2 linked regions of the Styela clava genome follow. The protein of the gene in region 1 interacts with the protein of each later gene in a pairwise test. Links are inferred from orthologs where the notes say so. Each region holds a gene or a part of one and is shown in the gene's direction. Other genes may lie near its edges.

Region 1 (8,823 bases):
GGTCGAAACATGAGATATAGAAGTCCATAATGGACAATCAGTACTCCCGTAGTATGTGTACCAGGTTAGGGTCATGCCATATTTTTATTCCGATTTTCCTTATTTTATTTTTATTACGAGTTCAGGACTGTCTGTGTTAACCAAGTGAAATTACCCCCTGCCCATAGGTTTCAGTTCCTCTACACAACTTGATGTGAAAAAGTACGCGAACAAAATTAGTTACCTCCATTTTAGTACATACACTTCTGGGCAATCTCGCCTACACATAGAATATAAGTAATTATGGATAATATTAAAATATGGCGTATAAGGATTAGATATAATTTTTATCATTGAGATAGGCCGATAAGGGGGCTTATATGATATAACTATATTTTTCAAAAATTCAGGAATATTGCCTAAACTTCAAAGAGGTCCCTTTGGTCGAGTAAAAGCCTAAGGTCAGTAAAACAACGGTTGATATATCGGCCAAACATTGATTATCTCAGAGAGTTATGAAACGAACAATCGTTTTTCTGATCGAGATATTTTTGCTCATTTATAGCCCGCGATACTGAGTGTGTGTGCGATTGCGCTTGCGCATGTTCGCACGCAAGAAAAGAATTCCGATTCCGACAAACAACGATCGTCAGGTGTTGAGTTCGGGTGTTTGTGCGAAATTAAAAATTTATTATGTTCGGAGAGAGTGTTCGCAGGGAATTAAGGAGATTAAAACGGCGATAGCTTTAAGTGAGAATTTGTGTAATATAATTTGAATAATTTGTGAGACAATACTTTGTACGTTACGTACAAGTTTGTTCAAAGCAAGGTCCTGAAGATTAGAGAGCGTACCGAGTGATAGACCAGTTGGTTCACCGGCGCATTCTATGGGTTATCATGTACTCGGTATAGATCATATAAGACAGCACTTTTTAAATACAAGTTTGAGCGCTCCAGAAGTGTGTCTACCGATATAGAGGTACCTAATTCTGTTCGCCTACTTTACATCAAGTTATGTAAAGGGACTGAAGCCTATGGGCAGGGGGTATATTCACTTGGCTAACACAGACAGTCACCGAACTCGTAATAGAACTAAAATAGGGAAAATCGGAATAAAATTATGGCCTAACCTGGTACACACACTACCGGAAGTACCGAAATTTGATCAAAGCAGAGTCGCTTGAATAAAAAGTTGGAACAGCATCAATTGAATTGCGACGCACTAAGGATCATAACAGGGGTACACTCGTGACAGTAAATAATATTAGACAATAATTTTAGATATAAGTTTCAAGGTCCCAATCTTTCGGCTAAAAAGGGTATGGAGTAATAGGGATTGCGACCGTCGGACGCATCATGAGTTGCATATAGGCTTATTTGTTCTGGTGACGGAGTGACTGACATATATAATATGTGCGTTAGCTTAAGGCCACGTTTCCCGACCAAGGAGAAATTTTGCTTCTTATTTGCTGTGGTATTACTAATATCCGTTAATTCATTATTATTACTATGATACGTATTTGTGCGCACATTATAAACTGTATAAAAGCAGGAGAGCGAATTGCCCATAACACAAGCAAAGTATCCATAAAAGATTGACAAACAAAGTAGTTTTTATGGGTAAGGAGAGAGAGAGATTATTTCATTTTGTCAAAACAAAAGAACAGTATATGCATACGGTAACCGTGCATTTGAGCCCACGTACATTTGAATCCATGTGAATATCCGCGGGTTCAATCTATATGCGGGTGCTAAAACCCATGGGGTAGCGTTAGTATGGGTTCAAATATCCGCAAAACAAAACAAAATTTCATAGGTACAATATAATCAAGTGCAATTGTCGTAGGTTCAAATGTATCGTGTGTAATACATGTATCGAATAAACAGATGTTTTCGGTACATGAAAGGGAGGCAACGATACGACCTTTGGTCATTAGGTCCTTATGGTCATTTGATCATCCATCAGAGTGAGTTGCCAGCCAATTAAATTAAGGATTTAATAGTTCCAAAATAGGGGGAAATATACGAAAAAGGGTGAAAACCGCTAACATTTCACAATAGAAAGTAGCTTTCCATACCGAACAATGCGGAGATATCCAGCCAATGTATTATGACAGTGGTCAGTTCGTTGGTATCAGAACAGGGGTGGGCAAGTATTTTGAACCAGGGTCCAAAAATTTTGCCCACCTTGACTGGCGGTAAGCGTGCCGTAAAATGTACATTTCATGAACAATATTTACAGTGTTGCAAAAGTGGAAAACAATAAGCCTCGTGCCAAAACTAAATTTAATCGCAATCTCAACAAATGCAATGAGCTATTTTTTAGGTAAATCATCAAAATTTAGTTTTATTTTTGTTGTGGCAGCATCAGGCGGGTCAGAATAAATTACCCCACAGTCCGGATGTGTCCCGCGGGTCGTAGTTTGCCCATGTGAGTATTAAACGCTCAGATCTCGTTATGTTGTTCTGTCTATTTTTGTGCTCGGTCCGGATGAAATGTGCTCCAGATATTTTATATTTTCGTTGTTATTCGCGAACAATATACCGTTTTGTTTGTTTTTCGTTGTATTTATTATGAAACAATCAGAGTAATCGGAATTAGCTTGTTTACTTGTGTGTTTTAATCTAGTAGCAATCAGAGAAGTGTCTCTTGTTGTGAGATGTTGTTTTTAGTTTTAAAAAAACTGATAAAACAGTATTATCATGTAGCGAACACGGCCTCTCGTCCGGTTAACAGTCCATGCCGGGTACAAGGATAGCAATCCTGTTAATTGTTTGCGATGCATAACTTGTGCTAGTCGTAACTAACACATTCAAAACATTCAAGCTTGTCACAATGATAAGTGCTCCATCATAATGATCGCATTATGATCTCACACGTCGATCCCTCCCTGATTTCAAATTATGCAAATTATCTCATGAGACTCTCTGACGGTGGTCTTTCAATCTCTGTGATGTAAATAAAAAAAACTATGAATAAAAAAAGTTATTTAATAATCGGAGTCATTATGGCGTTTTTTCATCGATATGATAACTATAGTCGTAATTCCAGCGGACACAAGTGGACCGGATGAAACACTTCGTTAGGCCAGATGGGCCGTAATTTGCCCATCCCTAACTTCGATTGTTCTTGCTCAATAGCTGTCCAGGTAGAGTCCCGATAGAATGAGGAAAGAGCTATGATATGGTAAATTCCACAGAACTGAAATCTTTGGGGAAAAAAATTGGCCAGGTTTTCTGCCGCAATTGATACGTCAGGAATTATTTATAGTTCTGTTGAGATATCAACGTTCATAGTGTAGATGGACATGGGAATCGCCATAATATGCAAAAAAGTTTTGCTTATACGACACACCCAATTTATGTCTGACTTACCGGTAGGTCTAGGCTTTGCGGGTGGTCTATAGACTCAGTTGGTACTTTGAGGCGGCGATTTGTTGTCCTGTTCGTTGCACAGCGATATATAGCAGTCATGTATATAGAGGCAGATGGTAATTGATGGGTCAGGCTGTATTGGCATCGGTTATGATGGCGCTCCAGAAGTATGTGTATCAATATGGAGGTAACTAATTTTGTTCGCCTATATCATATCAAGTTGTGTAAAGGGACTGAAACCTATGGACAGGGGGTATATTCACTCGGCTAACACAGACAGTCCCCGAACTTCCAATAGAACTAAAATGGGGAAAATCGGAATTAAATTATGCAGTATGCACTAATCCTAACCTGGTACACATACTACGGGTATACCGTTATGATATATATAGGACATATGAGGCAAGATTCGTGACCGCGTATTCGTTGCATGATATCCATTTGTTGTCACATCCGCTGGAGGACAGAATGACATATTCTTGAAAGGAGATAACTTTTGTGCAAATCGTCCAAGATTACTAAAACTTTCGGCTACGATCATGCATAAACAAAAGTTCAAGTGTTGTTTTTCTTCATTTTCATAGAATATTTTAGAAATTTGGGTACTACCGAAGTATGTGCACCAGGTTAGGGTTAGCCATAATTTTATTCCTATTTTCTTTGTTTAGTTCTATTACGAGTTCGGGGACTGTCTGTGTTAGCCAAGTGATTATATCCACTGCCCATGGATTTCAGTCCCTTTACACAACTTGATGTAAAGTAGGCGAACAAAATTAGTTACCTCCATATTGGTACACACACTTCTGGAGCGCCGAAATTTGTGCGTTCTATTTTCCCAGTTATTACTCATCGATCTTAAGATCGGTAAGTATGTTGATAGGTATTTGTTTGTCTGCCTGTCTGTTAGATGCACGCGATATCTCACGAAAGCAAGGTTTAATCTGCTCCAAATTTCGCATGTGCATATATCATAGCTCTGATCAGGAGCCTATTGATTTTCGATGAATTATGTCGTATAATTAGCGAGTTATTAATTAATTAGTGATGGGACACACGGTGTCACTATGGAGTAAGAGCGCTGTTTTGGGGGACCCCCTAACCTCCGATCGATAAGTCTCCGGTCTCCGACCGGTATTCTCGTTTCGTGGTTGCCAATTGTCTTAGATGCAGTGTTTTCGCCGGTGTTTGTTGGGAGGTCTACAAATCCGTGTTCCATAGCTTTTCTCCCCTAAGTATAAAAGCCCTAGTAGCAATGCACTCTAGCGTTTTATATCTCATTATGTTGTTGCATTGTTTCGTGACTTGGGACCTAATAAGCGATTAAAATATCGTCCGACGTAATTTGATTAATATATAGTGACATCACTTTAAAGATTTCTATTTTGTTCCATGACGCCATATACAGCTGTTCGCTTTGATTATTTTCTCATAACTACAAAGATATTGTTTATGACATTACAAATAGATTATGCTTTTACTATGACGTACACAATATCCTTTCATCAAACGTAATGCTAAGTGAAATACATTAATTGAATGAATTCGTCAGATCGAGTCGCGTCGTCTTCGCCTTATTGAAAGTTTTCTGTTTTCCCGTGCTTAGTGATTATGAGCTTGGAAGGCTGTATTTTTACCGATTTATGTCTGGCAATCTATGAGGTTACAATTTTGCGACGGAGTGGAAAATTTGAAGTTAAGTCAGAAAGGCCATTTTCCAGAAAATGCGATTACAATTATATTTAAATTCAAATGTCCAAGTGAAAGTTTTCCGTCTTTGAAGGGAAATGACTTTGTCGTCTGTGGCTATACAATATTTCTTTTGATTTTGTGCATTGATATGTGTGAGTGTACGATTATTTGGAAAATGAAACGTATGTGTCTTAATTTTGTTGCCCGGTAGGTCGTTTTGGAAAAATTGCAATTTATGTTATGATAAGTTATGGAATGCGAATTTATTATGATAAGAGTATCTCCGCTACCAATTTATTTCTATTTGAATTGACTTATCGACGTAAGATATGCTCGGCCCCTCTCAATTGTAGGTACATTTTAAATAAAATCTGACGCCTCTTGAGCGGAAGGGAGTCCATTTCTATTTGATTTGACTTATCGGTCCAAGATAAGCTCTGAATTGTAGGGCAGTTCCCAAACGCCATCCACGTCATCACAACTAGCTGAAGCCTAATTCCGATGGTAACCCAGGTTATCGAACCCTCCAGTCTATTCAAACATTCCCTCTTCCACATGTCTGCCCGTAGTCTCCTCCTTCCATGCTAAGTTAAAATTAAGCTTTCATTTTTTCTAAAGCATAGCGATATACAATATAGTATTGTCGAAGAATCAGAGACCTTTACGACATCCGGAATATTTTTGGAATAAACTTGGATGTAACGTTAGTGAGGTCATCAATCAAGGATTACGTCATAAACTTATTACGTCTTCGCAAACTTTACTATAAAATCGAGACATGGAATACATCGTTATGATTTGCATGTTACTGCTAGCTTCGACTGTCCATGCCCACAGCTGCCTCCCGTGCGACAAAGAGAAATGTCGGATTCCTTCCAACTGTCCTGGTGGATTGGTGGAAGATGCTTGCAGGTGAGTGTTTCATATTGCGCATGAAGTTCATATCGCCGCAGTAAATCCTCACCTTCTTCTACATCTGACATGGGCAAATCACGGCCTGCGAGCCAAATCCGGCCCGTTGGGTAATTCAATCTGGCCCGCCTGATGCTGCCACAACCAAACTAAAACCAAATTTTGATGTTTTAATTAAAATAACTCAAGGAATTTGTTGATATTGCGATTAAATTGCGAGACTTATCGTTTTCCACTTTTGCTTTTGTAACACTGTGAACATTGTTCATGGTATGTAACTTTTTATGTCATACATACATTGCTCGCCTGCCCAGATAGGCAAAATTTTCGGCAATTGGTACAAAAACCGTGCCCGCCTCACCTGTTCTACGGTTTTATTTATGGATGAAGTGAATATATGGATGGCCTATTATTAGGGACCGAATATGAATGCGGATCGTTTTGAGAAAATTGCATTTCGAAAATTTCAGATCTGTACAGCCTAACCCAAAAATCCACATAAAGCACTACATCAAAACTAAAACAGGTACACCCTTGAAACCCAAACAGAAAGATGGTCCCTGATCCATAATGACAGGAAATCCAAGTCATTTTACCAAAATGTGAAATGAGCTACTACGGATTTACTGCGACGATACTTTGTAGTTTGGTGCCAAATTTTCAGTGCTAGAAGGCTAATATTTTCATTTTTCCAACTGGATGAAGTGGACATAAAGGTGGCGCATTAATGGAGACCGAATATGAATGCGAATCGTTTTGTTGTTTGTTGCTAGAAAATCGCATTTCTCAACAATCGATTTCAGTACTTAAGATGGACCAATCGACTATCAGAGTCACCCAAAACTTGCTGTTGCATTTTAATTCTTGGGAACAATGTTTTGACATTTGACCTCCGCGTTCATATATTCGAGCACTGCTCTACTTTTGCAGTGAATTATATAGGAATCCGTAGTGAGACTATTCGGTATTCGCGTAATGTGTGTACCGGGTTAGGGTCAGGCTATGATTTTATTTCGATTTTCCTTATTTTGGTTTTATTACGAGTTCGGGGACTGTCTCTGTTAGCTAAGTGAATATAGCCCCTGCCCATAGGTTTCAGTCCCTCTACACAACTTGATGTAAAGTAGGCGAACAAATTTAGTTACCTCCATATTGGTACACATACTTCTCGAGCGTCGCCTATTCACCATTTCATGAGTTTTATCAACCAACCAAGTCTCGACGCTCTCTTCAATGTGCCGTCGAATCCAACCTCAGTTGAACTTTGTTGTCAGATTATTTCCAAGTTTGATGATATTTCTCATATTATGGATTTGAAGTCTGACATTTTTTTAAATATTGTGTTGTTTAACCCAAAAAATATCTGCCATATTTGCAAAGTTCATCTTTGCAGAAAATTTTGTTTTTTTCTTCGGCGTTTCGGGATTTTGAACCAAAATATCAGCCCGTTCAATTCAGATTGAGAGGCTTAAGATTGACAATCTTCACCTTAACCTTCTTAACGCAACCAATCTTTTCTCCGCTCAACTATTGAATGATTTAAAACATCAGTAAACATCGGGTTAAAATATTTTCTTATGCTCTGTTTAGTAAACTTTCGTCTTCAGCCCGAGGCTACCTCGCTTTATGACGAAATAGTTAACCCATTGTTTTCATAGCGCGTTGAATTGTTGATGGCGGACGCTTCCGAACCGACCCAGAATTGTTAATCTCTATGTAAAGGTATGATGTAATAGAAGACACTCGCTCAATTAATATTCCAGATCGACTTTGTTTTCGAAAATCACTCTAAGCCGAGAGTGAATTCAACAATTTTGGGGTAAAATATCGTAAATTTACAAATATAAAAATATTTTAAGCATCCTAGTTTTTTCACGGACCATTTTTAAGCCAACACATATCATTTTCTAATATAAAACTATGCCAGGGGTAGGCAAGGTTTTTGAACTAGAGGCCAAAAACCTTGTCGCCTGGACTTGCGGGCCATGTAAGTGTGATGCAAAAAATTACATTTTATTAATAAAGTTCATAGTGTTACAAAAGCAAAATTGAAAAACAATAAGCCTCGTAACGAAACTAAATTTAACCGCAATCTCAACAAATTTCTTTAGCATTTTTCAGCTAAAACATCAATTTTAGTTTTAGTTGGGTTTGCCCATGTTAGATATATACCACGATAAATTACGGCACTATATAATGAGTAAAATATTCACGACCTCGATTCGGGCCCAGAGTGAATTCAACAATTCTGGGGAATATACCGTGTTTCCCCGAATATAAGTAAGACACGGTCTTATTTAAATTAACTTTTGGAGGATTAATTCTGGAGGATATATTAATTTCATGTGACGCTACTCGCGTCATCCGAAAGGCAACCACTGGTAATACACGATACACAGGAAGATACTATTTTCGAAAGAACCGGAAACTTTCTTGTCCAGCAATTCGTACACCATGGGTGGCATTGATGATTAATCCATGAACGTGAACAAGGTTCTTGGGAAGTTTTTGAAACTTAGTATTTTGCGTTTGAAAATATCCATGTATGAGATCGCCTGGCAGAAATCGATCAAGCAATTTTATTTCGGTCGTTCTGGCATAAAACAAAACAAAGTAACGACATAGCAGAGATACCTGGAAAGCGAGTATAACTTGGAAAAAAGTTTAAATCGTACAAAAAATACGCTCGAGTATTGCATTTGTATAAGTGTGCAGCGAAAGTATTATATCACTTAGAACTTATATCATTTGCCTCTTATTAGTTGTGTATGTGCCACTATGACTGTGGTGAAAAGTATGAATTATATTTCCCAATAATTCCGGCAATTTACCTAGTATCGTAACAATTGCAGCTTTACGCAATTTTGG
Region 2 (8,309 bases), on another chromosome or scaffold:
AACAAGGTCACGTGACCCGTGCAAGTCCTCTATATGCTCATTGCTCCGCCAAAGCCTGACGTACCTTCCCGCCAAAATGGCTGTTTAGATTCTAGTTTCGCTAGGATGCAACTTGGCTTGGTTCGACTCTCAAAACAATTGAAGTAGCCTAGTTTGAAAGTGTGAACCTGTATATTTTACACTATGGTGCCTGAAGGTTGTAAAACAGAAAGTTTGGAGAAAGAAATACCGTTACCTAGGTTGTAAACTCTGGACTACTGGTGCTGTAGACTAGGCTACCGGTAGATCTTCAGGTTTTGCAAGGTGAGTTAATTTATGATCTTCTAATTTATGACATCTCTAGTGAAACTGCAAGATTAGCTACTGCAGTAGAAAGTCGTGAACTTTTTATGCCTATATCATTTTCATACATCCTCAATCTGCTGATTCCTTTCAGTTCGAAAGTGGAAAAACATATCCTGCCATTTTACCTCTGGGGCATTCGCATTTGGCCCTTATCAAGTCTGTCATTGTATCAACACTACAAACGAATTTCTAGAAAGATCAGGAACTGGTAGCCTATTGGTGTTTCATTTTTCGATGGCAATGGTATGAATTTAACTGTTTAATAAATCAAAGCCTTTCTTATACATATGAGCATCATATTACTGTATATAGTGAGCCTCCTTGCACTAAGTTGATTTTTGTGCAATGAATAGGCAAATAAATTCAAACATAGTTTTTTGTCTTTTTATATAACAATTTTCATTGTTTGGAGTGATAATGATATAATTGCGAGCTTCAGGAGAGATTGATAATAAATTTAACTTCTTCTGAGCATTGAATATAATATGAATCTACCACTTTGCTAATGGAATCATTTTACCCCAGAAGATCAAGATATAACATATGTAAATATGTTGACTTCTCACTCAACTACTTGTTTGCATTTTATTCAAGCTATGCCATTTTTTTTCAGTCGAATTGTCAAAATAAACAGCCAGAGAAATCAAAAAGTGCAAGAAAAAATGACAGGGGCCACTGCAATGTTGAATCTACCTCAAATGGTTTCCACCTATTTGAAGAGATGAAATGAACTATTTTGCTGGCGGAGACAATCACTTCTCGAGTGTATTTGATACTGTTTCGTTGCTAATATTTGATCACATATTCTATTAAAAGTGATTTCTTTTCAATTGTATTTCATTTCTTCAGGTGGTGGAATGAGGGTTAATCGAGTTACTTTGCGGATGTTGTTTAGTATTACAACTTCTTCTTGTAGTTAAGGTTAGCATCGCTATGGCTGTAAAAATCGGAGACATCCAACCCACTGCTTTGCCTAGTACATACATTTGGTTGTAAAATTACAACCGCTTGCAACGATCCAATACATCTGAAGTTGTATATGGTGTTTACAACAAAGTGCATGGCATCGCTGCTGCCGCGCGTTTGGTTGTAAATCGCCCCTAATATTTTTTACAGTGTACCCACTCAAATGACAGCTGGGGGATGGATACTCTTAGTATCTGCTTCATCGCGTGCCTCTTACAGTCTTACCAGTTTACATGAGTGCCAATTGGTATCTAAGCTCAGCCAGAGACAAAAAGTTTCAAACTGCAGTTGGCGTGACGAAATGTTTTTAAATATATATTCTACAATAAGATTATTTGAATGCATACTACTGTTTTTTTTTTATTTCGTTAAGACGCTTGTTGTTAAATTTAACATTCTCTGAAATGCTTAATGGGCAAATTCACAATAATATAGGAATACGGCTTTTTGTATCTCACCATATTTAAATAGAAAGTTCTTGCACAATCTATTTCATAAAATTGTTTGAATCAATTTCCTAGCTGTGATGCCGCAAAAAAGATTAAAATCTTACGATATCATTTTTTGCGCGCAATTTTAAAACTGTATTTATTTATTAGCTCGAAGCTTTATTTATTTGATGAACAGATCTAATATATTCACTTTTTTCAGCGATTATTTATTGCCTTAATAAACACATTGCACCATTGGTATTTTGTTCCTGTCTATAACAGAATGTTGAGCATAAGCTAATACTAATATATCAAATCATGTATAGCCAAATCCGTAATATAATATTAACCTGGCGGTCTTGGATTAAATTTGATTATTTGTGTGATTGAACTCAAGTAATGACATAGACTTTTGTATATATTACGTATATTGTTTCGTGGCCATTGGCATTTGCCAGACCAGCCTAACCTTTTACGTCTCGCAAGCCACTTTCGCATGACAAAATTAATTGCTTGCCGCAAACGTGTCTATCAAGCTTTAATACCAGTCAAGTTCGGAAATACGTAAATGTTCACATATTGCATCAAACACAAGTTTATTTACATAAAATCGATCAAGTCAATATTCAATTACGGGTTACCGAGTAGGTCTGGGCAAAATATTCGAATTGGTGTCGGATATTAAAATAGCAGTTTACGAATTCAAAAATCTGGTAAATGCACGTGAACAAGGGACGTCACCTGCTCGTTGTTGAAATAAAGACTTGGATTGCACAATGCACAATCCGTGGATTTTATCACCCGCATATAGATTGAACCTGCGGATACATCAGTTCAAATGTATGGGTTCAAATGTACGTGGGTGCAAATTTCCGGTCACCGCACTAAAATGCATACAGAAAAACACAACGAATCTCGGAGCCAGTAGCAAAGTTATTGTTCATTTTTTATTTTACGTTGGTGATAAGAACGATCAAAGCCGACACGAAAAATAGTAATCAAAATGAAATTAATTTGTAAACCTAGGTTGAAAATTATTTGCTATAATTGTACTCAGCGTTCGTCGCCAATGATTGCTCAATATATCTTCCGAGTTCGTGAAACAAACACAACACATTATTAACCATACCCGCAGTCTCGTGTTGACAAACGAGTTATATTGGAATTTCCTGTTTTTCATTTCGTTAATTAAGACGCTTGTTGTTAAATATAAAACTCTCTAGAATGCTCAATGGGCAATTTCACAATTATATAGAAATACGGCTTAGTTCTATCTAATCATAATTAAATAGAAAGTTTTTGCCAAATATATTTCATAAAAGTGTTTGAATCTATTTGCTAGCTTGTAAAGCGGCGGCGTAAACTATTACGTATATGTAGTATTTTCATTTAGTTATCTCACAAAATATAAATCAGGAAATACACGTTATGGGCGATGAATTGGAGTCATCGAAATCATATTGATCTAGAAACTGTGGTTAAAGAGATTAAAATCTTACGATATCTTTTTTTGCGCTCAACGTTAAAACTGTATTTATTTATTAGCTCGAAGCTTTATTTATTTGATGAACAGATCTAATACATCTACTTTTTCCAACAATTTTTATTGCTTTAATAAACACGTTGCACCATGGATATTTTGTTCCCGTCTATAACAGATTGTTGGGCATAAACTAATAATGATAAATTAAGTCATGTATAGCCAAATCCGTAATATATATAGTATTAACCTGGCGGTGTTGGATTAAATTTGATTATTTGTGTGAATAAACTCAAGTAATGCCATAAACTTTTGTATATATTTCCTGTATTGTCTCGTGGCCATTGGCATATGCCAGACCAGCCTAACCTTTTTATTGCTTGCCGCAAACGTGTCTATCAAGCTTTAACACCAGTCAAGTTTGGTCATGGACATTCCCTTTCGTAGGCCGTGATGTGACTGGTTGTAAACCATCATCTATTTCTGGGAAGAAATGAATGTGCCGGTGATTTTGTGAAGAAAGCTTGTAATCGGGAGTTTCAGCCTGTTGCCTAATCAATTCTAGTTAAATATTCTGTTCTAGTTAAATATTAACAATATTAAAACTCGTAAACAGGTCGAATTTGCTTTAATTGAACGCATTAAATCTACACGATTATGTTAAAAGCAAAACGTTTTTTTCAATATATAAATCGCATATTAATCAGGACAAAACTGCATTTACTGAATGAAAGATTTTTTTCATAACTCTCGTGATTTGCAACGCAATTGCAAAAGTATGCAATGAATGCAATATTTTGCACGCTATATTCGCCAGTTCATAATTGATTAATCGGGGAATTTACGATGAATGTCAAGTGTTATGTAAAGACAAAACTAAGTTCAGACAATGCGCCAATTTCACGAATTTCTAAAAACGTGCACGAAACAAACTTTCGAAACTTCCAAAATTTTGAAAATTGAAGTTGACTGATAGATTGATCTGGAAATTGAAAACAGTTTGGTATAGAATAAAAACTGCATGAATACATAGTATAACCAAACTTCGGTAAAAAATTCACTCGCCCATTGAAATCACATCAATATTAGCATTGTGAATAACGCCAAGATGCCAGGTCTATAGTGTTTGTTTACTTTTGTGACGGAATCCTAATTTTAGAAATAGAGTTGCTTTAAAATCGTAGAACTATACTGCGTGGTAATATTCACGCTGATCGGATGTGTACAAATGTGTTTTATTGTGCATAATTTCTATCTTAAAAGGGCAGTGTCTAACAAGGTCGATAAAAAATGTTTTCTGAGATCTTGTTCAGAAACCATCAAATTGCACATCTCAACCGATAGGCGTTACAATGCCAAATTTGAGGTTAGCTTTCCTTGTAATTATGAAACCTTCCCAATAGATGTATTTTTACAAAAGTCTATTAAGTTTAAAATTGTAACTTGAAATTAAACTTAAAATGTTACATCGAAGCAATCGAATTTAATCGATAAGTTTAAAATCTTTTCTCGAGCAACAATACCTGTGCAATCAACAATTTTAAAAAAAATAGTGAAGTACTTGTCATATCTTTGTAACTTTGTGATAGTAATGAAATAGTTGATCAAAAAATGGTAGAAAAAGGATGACATGATTCGTTTCAGTTATATACATAAGCATACTCGATTATTTTCTTTAACAAGAAAATTTTCAATGAATTATTAAAGCAATTACTGTATAATTCACGTGAATGACTGTTATTTTATTACAGCAAACAAGCTGAAAATTTGATTTAATCAATTTTGCAAACCGTGAACTTAAATCATATTTTTAGATTAGTCAAGGAGGAGAAAACAACTGTCGCTTTTCCTATAGGTATATATAAATGTAATTCGCGTGTTGAAATCATTAAACTAGAACTTGTTTGATACTGAGAGGTTCATATTGCTAATATGGCCTCCATTTTATCGAGTTTGTGTTTGACGAGTTTTGTATTTGTCACCGCGTCATGCTTATCAGTTGACAAATACGGTAAGTTGAAAAATAGACATAAATGTAACATTAATTTTGTTGTATTGTATATATCATTTTTTACAAATTTATCATTTAAAGAGACAAGTAGTGTATTGATATATTATCTTTTTCATATTCACAACACGTTATTTGAAACAGTGAAAACATTACTGATCATAGAATAAAATATGTCAGAAAACAGTGATAGCTTTGAAATACATCCCATAATATTATTGTAATAAAAAACATTACAATGGTGTTAATTGAGATCTGAGAACGCAATATAATTGAAATGAATTTATTTTGTCTGAATACCTTCCGACCATTTCATTGGCTATGCTTGCTGATATGATGAGAATATTGTGTCTACTATATACTAAAATATTCAGGCATAAACAGCGTTTTTTTGAGAATAATTTTCTACCAAAATTATTTTTCAGTTCCCCCGTGTGAGGTTACTGGTTGTCCACCTCATAAACAATGTGTTGACGGAAGATGTATCGATCGTAAGTTATATCTGTATAGGTGTGGAAAACTGTCAAGTTAGGCAATTTTCACAGTACTGGTTAACAATATATTTAAAAATTGTATACTTTGTCAAAAATGATAGAAATGATAAAAAATTTACGTAATAAATTATGTGTGTGCTGTTCAAGCGCGTATAAGGGTACATCTGCATACTAAGTGATTTCTTATTTCAAAATAACGTAAAAATACGAAAGAAAGAAAATATCATGTTTATTTATTACTTTTTAAAATCTTTTTTCAGTTATAGCCATCGGTATACCACCTGGTGAATGCTGGCCCCCGTGCAAACATACGGAAGACTGTCGGTTTGGCGAATGCGTCCGTACGTATACAATTGCATATTCTCGAATTTTAAACAATTTCATTATACAATAACAAATGAATGTCTTTTCAGTGAATTCTCATAAAGAGCATGTTTTGGGTACTATTATAATTAGAATCTCCAGATAGCAGTTCAGGCGTAAACATCCTTTAGGTTATGTTATAGGCTAGGATACAGTAATCACCAGAAAAACCAACATATATAGATATACAATGCTCATGTTTGAAATTTGTTAAAATATGTAATTTTGTTAAAGATAATTTTGATAATATAAATGCACTTTCCGCACGCGATAAAACCGTTGCACAGTATTACTTTTGAATAAACAAGACAACACTCCATATACAGGAAGAAGTACTTCATGTGCAGCAGTTACATGCATTGTAGGACAGATATGTATTGATGGAATATGTGTTGGTAAGTCTATGAGATATTAATGTTATAGTCGAAGAGTTTCATTTTTGCTGTATATAGTTTTATTGTTATTCTGAATTTGCTTTTATTTGATTTAAGTGAACAAGTGCAAAATTGCTTGACTTCCGTTCGTTTACAGATCCAAATACGTGTTCATCACCATGTGCGTCTGGTCAAGTATGTAAAGATGGTAGATGCGTTTGCAGAAGAGGAGACTTTTACAATGGAAGATGCGTCAGTAAGAATCATTAATATTTTACAATTTAATTTTTCAATAGTTATTGTAAAGTGAAAATATATCAACACATTATGGCCATACGTAACATTACCCCTTCCAAAACTCAAATGATTTGGAAAGACTTGAGTAATAACTTAGTTACCTTTTTGCATGTGCTCGATTAATCTAAATGTCCATGTGCACTTTTATGTATAACAGTATAAAAATTGAATATTTTCGAATACCTGATAAATGTAGAAGTATATCAGAAATGTTTCAGTTCTATAATTAGTAACAACCATGATTTGAACCTACTGTATAGATCGCAACTTTTTAATTATAACCTGCGTTTAACCCGATTTGAGGTTTTATCAAATACCTCTGAATCATATTTAAGTTGATAATATTTTTGTTATTTCAAGTAAACATGATTCCGCAGGTATCTTTGCTAATATATATATAAGAACACGACTTCTGTGACGTTGTCTATCCCTGCGGGCAAATCATTTCTAATACAAGTAAATTTCGCGTTATATATTTCATTGAAAATATATACATCAATATCGTCAATAAAAGTCATAACCCAACAACATATTCCTCTGGAATATCAAAATATCAAGTTTTCAAACTAATATTTCTCCGTCAATTACGAGTATGCTTGTCTGTTTGATTCCATCGTGATTCGTGAATTTACCTCGAAACTTTTTTTTCTATGAAATTTATTGTTTCTAACACAATTTTCCAAAACGAATACGTGATGTCGCTGCGTTATATTAGTTTCTCATTTAACGATAATAATCTGTTATCATTATCACCTACGAATGTTTTGATTTCCAGCTTGTCCTCCCGGTAAAATATTCAAACCATGTTCGAACTGTCCACCGACATGTGAAAAACCATTTCCGCAAGCTTGTACCAAGGAATGTAAATTGGACAGGTATTGTGTGTGTCCTGATGGGCTGCTGGAACACAATGGTGGATGCGTGAAACGACACCAATGTCCTACTAGTAGGTTCATAGATTATGTTCTAGCAAAGAATATTAAATAAATTAAACAATCGTTTTAATACATATTTTGGATACATAAAATGTACAACAACACCCTAAGCAGACATTTTTATTGGTGAAAATTCTATGATACTTGATATCTGTAAAAACACTAAATTTCTTAGTTATATCCTCTAATCACTTGCTTAATTTTATTGAAGTATGGCTTAGTATGTATTTTAACTGCATTTGTCTATCTCATTTAACATGAACAAATGAGCTATTAGAAAAGCATTTTCCAGTCCAAACTAATAAATCCATTTGCTTTATCCATTTTTAGCGTCGTATAGAAAAGATTCATATAATTGAATTTACTTATAAATTGACTATTATGATTTTCAGAATGTGGGTATGGTGAGAAACCTACCGCATGTGCTTCGTTTTGTGTGGGCACTTGCAAAAACCCAAATCCCGAGATTTGTGCCCCCGCCTGCGATCCGAATAGAAAATGCGAGTGTAGAAAGGGATTCGTCCAAGTTAGCCAACATGACACTAGATGTACTTTGCTACAAAACTGCCCTCGGCCGCAACGTAAGTAAAATATTATAAACTTGAAACTTACCAGT

The links.
Region 2: the proteins of cysteine-rich motor neuron 1 protein-like (region 1) and zonadhesin-like interact in a two-hybrid assay, tested with the Caenorhabditis elegans proteins (2 studies listed by BioGRID). The link is inferred for Styela clava from reciprocal best matches to the Caenorhabditis elegans genes crim-1 and Y69H2.3.

What each region holds. Positions count from the first base shown.
Region 1 is NC_135262.1:100,901-109,723, forward strand, and holds the start of cysteine-rich motor neuron 1 protein-like, read left to right. Parts: upstream 1-5,642; 5' UTR 5,643-5,821; coding exon 5,822-5,955; intron 5,956-8,823.
Region 2 is NC_135252.1:14,404,378-14,412,686, reverse strand, and holds the start of zonadhesin-like, read left to right. Parts: upstream 1-5,077; 5' UTR 5,078-5,154; coding exon 5,155-5,233; intron 5,234-5,655; coding exon 5,656-5,721; intron 5,722-5,984; coding exon 5,985-6,065; intron 6,066-6,413; coding exon 6,414-6,482; intron 6,483-6,618; coding exon 6,619-6,717; intron 6,718-7,533; coding exon 7,534-7,704; intron 7,705-8,085; coding exon 8,086-8,274; intron 8,275-8,309.